Linked DNA regions of Schizosaccharomyces pombe. The protein of the gene in region 1 binds, or shares a complex with, the protein of each later gene. Each region holds a gene or a part of one and is shown in the gene's direction. Other genes may lie near its edges. The genes, in order: mtr3 and rrp42.

The links.
Region 2: mtr3 (region 1) and rrp42 share a complex: the UniProt entries of both Schizosaccharomyces pombe proteins name them as parts of the RNA exosome complex.

The regions. Positions count from the first base shown.
Region 1 is NC_003423.3:3,886,337-3,890,128, reverse strand, and holds mtr3 (exosome complex component mtr3), read left to right. Parts: upstream 1-1,811; 5' UTR 1,812-1,850; coding exon 1,851-1,965; exon of another isoform or gene 1,966-2,003; coding exon 2,004-2,662; 3' UTR 2,663-3,224; downstream 3,225-3,792. Other genes in the region: uba1 (ubiquitin-activating enzyme E1), read right to left, coding at 1-1,196, 1,305-1,369, 1,428-1,433; ubiquitin conjugating enzyme Ubc8, read left to right, coding at 3,563-3,792. UniProt on the Schizosaccharomyces pombe protein: Non-catalytic component of the RNA exosome complex which has 3'->5' exoribonuclease activity and participates in a multitude of cellular RNA processing and degradation events.
Region 2 is NC_003423.3:4,230,345-4,234,910, forward strand, and holds rrp42 (exosome subunit Rrp42), read left to right. Parts: upstream 1-1,596; 5' UTR 1,597-1,608; coding exon 1,609-1,856; exon of another isoform or gene 1,857-1,922; intron 1,923-1,953; coding exon 1,954-2,605; 3' UTR 2,606-2,852; coding exon of another isoform or gene 2,853-3,440; 3' UTR 3,441-3,590; coding exon of another isoform or gene 3,591-3,635; 3' UTR 3,636-3,736; downstream 3,737-4,566. Other genes in the region: kex1 (serine carboxypeptidase), read left to right, coding at 1-119; BAG family molecular chaperone regulator Bag101, read right to left, coding at 2,853-3,440; top3 (DNA topoisomerase III), read right to left, coding at 3,591-3,635, 3,737-4,472, 4,520-4,566. UniProt on the Schizosaccharomyces pombe protein: Non-catalytic component of the RNA exosome complex which has 3'->5' exoribonuclease activity and participates in a multitude of cellular RNA processing and degradation events.

The DNA.
Region 1 (3,792 bases):
CTTGAAATTCCGAACCGAAAACAGCGATTTGCCCATCGTATCGACAGCCACGAGGTTTACAAGTTTCTTCACTGATCGTTACAGAAGATGGCAAGCTTTCTAAGGAGTCAAAATAGAAGTATTGCTTCAATGGGTAAAATTTACTGGTGGTAGCTTTCAACACTTCCTGTGCTACAGCACCGCCCAAAAACGCGGACATTGCAACCAAATCACCTCTTGCCTGGTATGAAATTTCCTTAATTAGTTTTTCATCGAGTTCAACATCAAATTGAAGTGTGCTTGCAATTTTCTTACAAAATTCGAAAAATTCAGCTGCATCAATGTCGTTACGGGGTCGAGGCAATGAACCTTCATGCGCATCGGCAAATGCTGAAAGGGCCTGGAAAGCAATGTGGTATTGTGGAGGTCTCATCATTTTACCAAAGTCAGGATATACATATTCAGGGTCCTTGAGCGATTCGCGGAGAGATTTGAAAGATATTTTGGTTGGAACTTTAACTTGGGTAAAGACACCATTGTAACCGGCACTTCCTAAATCTTTAACAGATCCGATAGAAAAGGTATATGGACCTTTCACTTCAACTTTACGAGGAGTGCCATCATTTAAACCAGGCATACCCTTCACTTCGGTAAATTTAACAAAATCACCATTCTCCAATCCATGACGAGTTTCTTCAAGCATGGTAACAACTCCATCATCAGTAATTGAAGCGATCATTCCAGTTAAAGGTTCATTTCCATCAGTGTCAGTACAAATAAAGTTCTCACCAAAATCACAAAATATCGATCCAAAAAGACCACGGCTGTCAGCAGCAATATAAGCAATATGGTTTTTGTGTGTAAAGTCGTTAATTTCTAGCTGTTTCGTAAGAGAAGTTTCTGTGACAACCACGCATTTGAAGTTTTTTAGATACTCTGTTGAAAGTTCATCAACTACAGAAACAGGCACATATTGATTAAGCTCTGCTAACTTTGATACCGTTACTTTTGCACGAGGAACACCAATATCGTCTTCTGTAAGAAAATATTGTGATGATAAGTCCTCAATGCGTGTAGGTTGAGGATCGTAAAGAGTAACGCTTTTTACACCTGCTAGACAAACGTTCTTTGCTATTTCAACGCCTAAACCTTTGCAGCCAATGATTAAGACATTCGACTGACTCATTTGTTTCATAGCCTCATGGCCTAAAACATAACTTTAGATAAATTAGCAAGCGCTCAGTACAAGAAAGAATATAAAAACATAAAGCTAAACCAAATCAACACCGGTAATAATGACTCTTCATGTTTCTAATAAAACTTACAGTTGTCTAGAGTAAAGCCCTTCATCGATAGTATTTTGATCCGTTTGATCAATGTTCATGTTATTCTTTTGCAATGTTAGTAAGAAGCGAAAAATACTTGAATCATTTAAACAAATTACATACACTCATTACGAAACGTGGTGTTGGCAGAGGAGAGTCATACGTAGGCTATAATATAGTGTTTTTATATGTTCAAATAGCGAGCTCTTTCGTTACACATGCTTAACAATTTATTACTCATTAAATTTAAGAGCGCGCACTTGAAGTATGCTGGCTGGATAAAAAAAAATTTTGCACCATTATTCTAAAAGCATTTTTATTTTCCAGCTTACTGATTGAAACGCTTAGTCATTACAAAAATCTTTTAGATGCGATAAAATTGCTTTCTATATGTCATATATACACCGAATCAAACAATATCGTTATATATATTAAGGCATGCAAACGCGTCATCCCAAAACGCGAAGCCACCACTGAAAATCCAGGCTGCTTCTGTATTGTTTTCTTAACGGTACATCAAGGTTAAAACAAATACTCTATAAATCGATGTCAGATAGAAAGAGAGTGTATGGACCGAGTGTATCCGTTCCCCCTTATTTTGAAGAGCCAGAACAACCTGTTTTCACGCGGACTCGTGATGTTGACAGATGTCGAAAAATATGTAAGATACCGATTATTAACATTTTCACTGACAATTAGATCTAAAATTAGGGTGGGCTACTAAAGCTGTCGGTAGCAGTTATTTTGAATCAGAAAAAATAAAAATTGCATGCACAGTCTCTGGTCCTCGACCTAGTAAGACTTTTGCTTTTCGTTCATCAGCAAAGTTGAATTGTGAATTTAGATTATCCCCATTTTCTACTTCTGTTCGTCAGGGACATGTACAAACCGTCGAAGAAAAAAGCTATTCCCAAATGATTGAAGCAGCAATTTCTCCAAGTATATTACTGCATTTGTATCCGAAAAGTTCTATAGACGTTTATATTCAAGTGATTGAAAGTGACGGTGCATTAGCAACATTGGCTGCTGCTATAAGTTGCGCATCAAGTGCAATAGCTGATGCTAACATCGACTGCATAGATTTGGTGACGGGCTCGAGTGTATTATTTAATCCCAATACGGATGAATATTGGATTGATCCTGATTATGTGGATGAGCGTGCAAGGGCTGCTAAAGGTTCTGTAGTTATGGGGTACATGGCTTCTCTTGGTCACGTTACTCAAGTATGGGAAAGAGGCACTTGCTCTCCGAGTCGCCTTTCGTTTTTGACGGAAAAATGCATAAAGAATGCCAAAGATACTCGGTTAGTAATTAATCATGCACTGCTACTAGAGAAGTCGAAATCCGAAGATCCTTAGATATTGGAATTCTACCTCTATAATAATATTCTGTTGATGGCTAATATTTATACCAATTTTACAAATTACATAATCAAATTTATTTCTTTTTAAAATTCTCTTCTATTAGTTGGCAATGCTCAAGTTTTGCCTTTTTTTCCTTAACACACATTTGAAGGGAGACGCTATCTTTTCTCGACAAACAAGCAGATGACTTCCCTAAGTAGATTTTCTTCTTTGAAATCAGCTTGGCCATCCGCAAGTTACGTTTGTTATGAAAAATACGAGTAAATATTAAATTAAAGATCTTAGTTTTTATCACTCGCGAATATATTCAGTAGCCAAACGATTAACTCTTTCCAATTTTTTCCAGTCTATTTATCGATTCCAATAGAACAAAACAAATGCTGAGATTTTATTAATACATATATTTGATACTAATTTATCAAGCTGCATTGAGACGAAAGCATCTTGGTAGTACTAGAATCATTGTTACTCACATACTGTTACCTGCTTCTTATAACCTCCAAATCAGCGAAATTCCGCGTCTTCATCATAGCCAAACTTATGCTCAATTGCCTCGTTTGTAAATTAAAATATATTTAACAATAAGAAGGACGATAAAGAGGGGATTCTTCTATACAATAAAATTGCTTTCATTTAAATTAGGTCATTGATGATTATTAGTTGTTGCTTTTAAAAATTTGATATATTCACGGACAATAGGATAGAACCATTTAAAACGGAAGCTAAGAATCTTTCCAAAAGTCCAAAATAATTTGATTTTATTGAAAATTACTCGAAAACTGCTGAATTTGCGAATTTGCCTTTATTGCAGCAAATTACCGTATTTGAATACTACACTAGCTTAAAATTATTGAGTTCTTTTTTAGTTTTGAAATAAAACTATAAAAAATCAAAATGTCGAGCCCAAGGCGCAGAATTGAGACGGACGTTATGAAGCTGCTGATGAGTGATTACGAGGTAACTCTTGTCAATGATAATATGCAAGAATTTTACGTTAGGTTCCATGGACCGTCTGAAACCCCTTACTCAGGTGGAATATGGAAAGTTCATGTTGAACTGCCAAGTGAGTATCCTTGGAAATCTCCAAGTATTGGATTTGTAAATCGTATATTTCATCCCAATAT
Region 2 (4,566 bases), 340 kb from region 1:
TGGGTTTGATTCCTGTTGCTTTAACTATCATTATTTTATTCTCAATTTATTTGTGCAGGAGATTTGGATTATTTGGTCTTAGCAAACAACGCTACCAACCTATATCTCCAACTCCTTAGACTGTATATAAATCTTTTCTGTCGGTTTTTACTTTCACATACAGATTTTCTGCTCTTTATTTTAATCATTTAACTTTTAATCTTGCTTTATCGGTGGTAGAATTTATTTTTTTATCTTGGAACGTTCTTCCCTGGTTTTAAAAAATCTGCGATTATCACCATAAATTTTATCTCTCATCTTTAATCAAATTTCACTTATGGATACATTCTTTGAATTTTTATTTTTGCACATAGTCTCTAAATGATCTCAAATCATGAATATGAAATATCATGTACCAAACATTGTCTTATAGCTATTGTTTGTTCTACAGTTTTTGTAGTTTTTTTATAGGACAGATTAGCGTCAAACGCTAATCTCAATAACGTGTTTGCAATAGTACAGTATATCATGGAGAACTACGTCTTGTAACATGTGTCACAAATGTATAAATACTAGTGAGATCTGTCTGTTTATATTGACAATCCGTTACATCCCTTAATAATCGATTATTATAAATAATTTATAATCGAATCACGTTCCTAAATTCAGTTAGAAGCTATAGCAATGGGAGGATTCTATCACATCTACGCATGAGAACAAAGGAGAACTGCAAGCTAATAACAGATCTACTGTAATCATATTTGACAATCCAAAATCGACGCACGTTATCAGGGACACAATTGATGCGTTTGGTAAATTTTACAGACAGCCTTAACTAAATAGGTCTAGGCAACGAGTGAACTAGCTCTATATCAAAGAAGAAATTGGATAGTTTTATTTCGATGACAACGTCTTTAAATCCATGATCCAATAGGCCCAACTTGCTTGTGGATGGATACTTACAGATGGCACGCTATCGAACAGAACACCAGATATGATCTTATTGCTACTCGGCCAAATTGCATCAAAGTGGTAAATAATATTTCAGCGTAGGTTTTGCATCCAAAATTTTGAAGGAATAGGTTATAATGAAGCACCAACTGCCCAAGCATTTTCAACTGATGTAAACTTGCGAAATTTTTAGAGAATGCGCCTTTTCTGCTGTGTCAATAAACAAGTCTTAGCTAATAAAAAAACATGTCGCAGTAGTACTGACAACGCTATAATTTACTACGTTGTGTATCACATTTGGAACATGTTCTATTTAAACATAGCCTCGTAGATGATAGATATTGGGGCAAATCATTTGATATCTGAAACAAATATTTAGTTTATATGTTCAACAATTTAAATAGGAAACTAAATTTCGTTCCTCACTTTAGTCAGAAGCTAATAACAGAAATAGATCATAAATAATACCTACATATACCAATATTTTCAATGACTCATAGCCGTTATACCTATGTATTATAATATAACAGATCACATGTAAAACTTATCGCGGTTTTGCATATCGTTAAACAGATACAAAACTGCGTAGCATACATAACGAACTTTAGAATATACGCAAGAACTCAACGCAATATTGCAAGGAAAATTATTCTTAAACGATATACCATTAGCCAACATATGCAATTGTCATTACCAGAACTATCGTACACACACAAATCAATAACAGAATTTGAGCCTGCAATTCGGAATGATGGACGTTCGATAGACCAGCTTCGTCCGCTTTCTGGACAAGTAGATGTTCTGCCTGGTACAAATGGTTCTGCTAGAGTTAAATGGGCGTCTTCGGTGGAGATAGTCATAGGTGTAAAAGCAGAAGTGGGTGATGCTACTCCCGAAGGTGGTAAATATGTCGCTTCAGTTGAAATGTACGTGAGATATTTGGAGTTCGTATTAACATTGTTTGGCGTAACAAACAATATGAATCAATTGAAAAAAGCTGGTATGCTAACACTTTTTATGTAGTTCTCCATCTGTTTCAATCCAGAATCGTGAAACCGATGAAATTCCTTCATTCCTTACAAGTGCCCTTCAGGATTTATTAAACGCACTTGCTGTCGACTATTTGAAATTTACACCATCTAAAGCTTGGATTATTCACGTAGATGCTGTTGTAATACTTTCTTCGTCTCCTTACGAAAACATTCTTTCAGCTTTAAGTCTTGCTGCTTATTTAGCATTACAGACTACACGTTTACCTAAAATTTCTACCCCCAATGTCACAGACATCACTATTGGATCTACTAAATATGAGCCTTCCGAAGAATACGATGTTGATTCAGAATGGGAAAATGCATTACCTTTGCAAGGGTTAGAATTAATGTCAGTCATAATTTTGGTTAGTAGCATTGATCAAGTGATAATTGTTGATCCTACAATTGAGGAATCAAGTGTCGCTCAAGTGACATATGCGATTGGTGTTCAAGCTAGTGGTGCTATTAGCTATACCAGGGTCGTGGGTACTGGAGGAGGCTACGCATCCACTGGACGTGCAATAACTGTAGAGCGATATATAGAATTGTTAGAGACTGCGTCTACCGTTGGTACTAAGCTTTTGAACGCCAGCAGCGATATTCTATCTTTTAAGGGTTTAGGATTTTTTGATATTCTTCCATAAATGAATTGGGTTGGGTTGGTCTCCATTTCCTATATAATAGCATCTTTCTCTCTATATATATATATAAATGCAATACTTGGGTTACGGAATCAGGATCAATTTTGTTACATGAAGAGGCATGCATCGGTATTTTTGGTTACTATGGTTGGTCATTGTATTTCGTTTAGGTCAAAGTCATATAGCAAGTATAGTAGATGGGAATAATTTAAGGGAAATGAAATGGTAACGTCTATAAAAATAATAAAGCCTATGCGGCCACTTCTTGGCTTGTTTGGTCAACGTGATCCAACATTTTTTGGATCTTAGAAACAAGTTGCTTCCGTTCAAAACGCAATTTCTCGCTGCCCAGTACGTCAACTCCATCCAATTTTAAAAGCTGTTGTAAAAGTAGTTCACTTATCATTAGTTTCTGTTTGTTTTTCTGCTTTGGATCGTTCGACGGTTTATTTACGTAATTGTCGTACATGGGGGAAAGTTCTTTGTCAACATACTGATCGATGGCTTTTATTTCTCCAGAAATACGCGAAAATACAGGATTCTCCGCTTCCGCTTTCGGAGCGGGCTCAACCGTGTCTTTTTCCTTGGAACCTCGTTGTTGCTTATGTGGTCTTATACATAGAATTTTACTATGATTTTTTAAACCCAATTTTGATAACGAGGCTTTTTTGTCTTTTAAACGCTTGCCAGCGTAAAAAAGCTTGACTTTCTTCTCAGAAATCTCAGTCGTTTCAAGTAAATCATCAATCAGTTCACTTAACGTCTCATTTAGATTGACTGCTACCGGAAATCGCTGATTTCCATAGTGTATTGTAACTGTGCTAGTCTTTTCTGACATTGACGATATTAAGTCGACTTGCTTAACGGATCCAACTCAAGATGTTTTATGTTTTTAAGGCTGATGCTATCCAAAAAAATGAAGGTCTTAATGCGACGCTTAAAAACGAAAGGTAATAAGTTAATAAAAGTATACGAGCGGTCTGGTTATCTAGGTTTGCGGTTCATTATGACTCATAAGGTAGACTCTGCAACTCTGCGTTATATTTGTTAGCAACCATAAAATGAAAAGATTAATAAATAAAGTATGGGATTTTGAAAATTGGAAAAGTAGGAAACAATGATAATTTGACTTACATTTTTTAAACAATCGAATCTTTGCTTTGTGAGATGAAAAACATCACGGAATTGGGTAAGGATCATATGAACTAGAACATTCCGATTAAGTTGGCCATTTTCTATGTTTTTAAGTTGAACTTCCATTTCTTTTCGCAAGAAAGGCTTGGTCAAACTCCACTCTAAACCAATTTCATCATAGCCTTTTGCCAAAGCAACTCCTAAAGAGCTTGGTACAAATTCAGTTACACCTTGGCCCCTTTTTTTTCGTTTTATGACATATTCTCTCTCCTGAACTTTTTCGATGTGCTCTGCCATAGTAGCATCTGTCCCGATTCCATTGGCATCCATCAAGGCAATTAACTCCGGTTCAGTGATATAGGAAGGGGAGGACGTTGAACTGTCCATCATGTCGAGAATGTGGGGTTGGAATTCCTCGTGAAGTCTATACTCTGGTAATTGATCCGAACTTTCCCATTTCTCATATGGATAAACCTCTAAATAATTTTTCTCTGTCACTAGCAATCCCTTTTTAGAAAAAAGCTCTTCTTCCATTTTAACCTGCACCAACGTTTCGGCTCCTTTGGCATTGTCAGAACAACAAGCTAAAAATCTTCTTGTAATTAGCTCATATACTTTCCAATGATCTTGGGAAGGAAGCGCTGACCGGTGAACCATTTGAACGGGATGAATAGGTGGATGAGCGCGATCATTGTGTTTACCTTTTCGGGGCGGTCGATAATCTCCAGCCAAAAGCCTAACATTAGTTATTACGGAAGCCACTATAAGAAAAATTATATTTACCCTTCTGCATAAGAGTCCCATTCTTGTGCACCTGTTAGTTTTTGGAT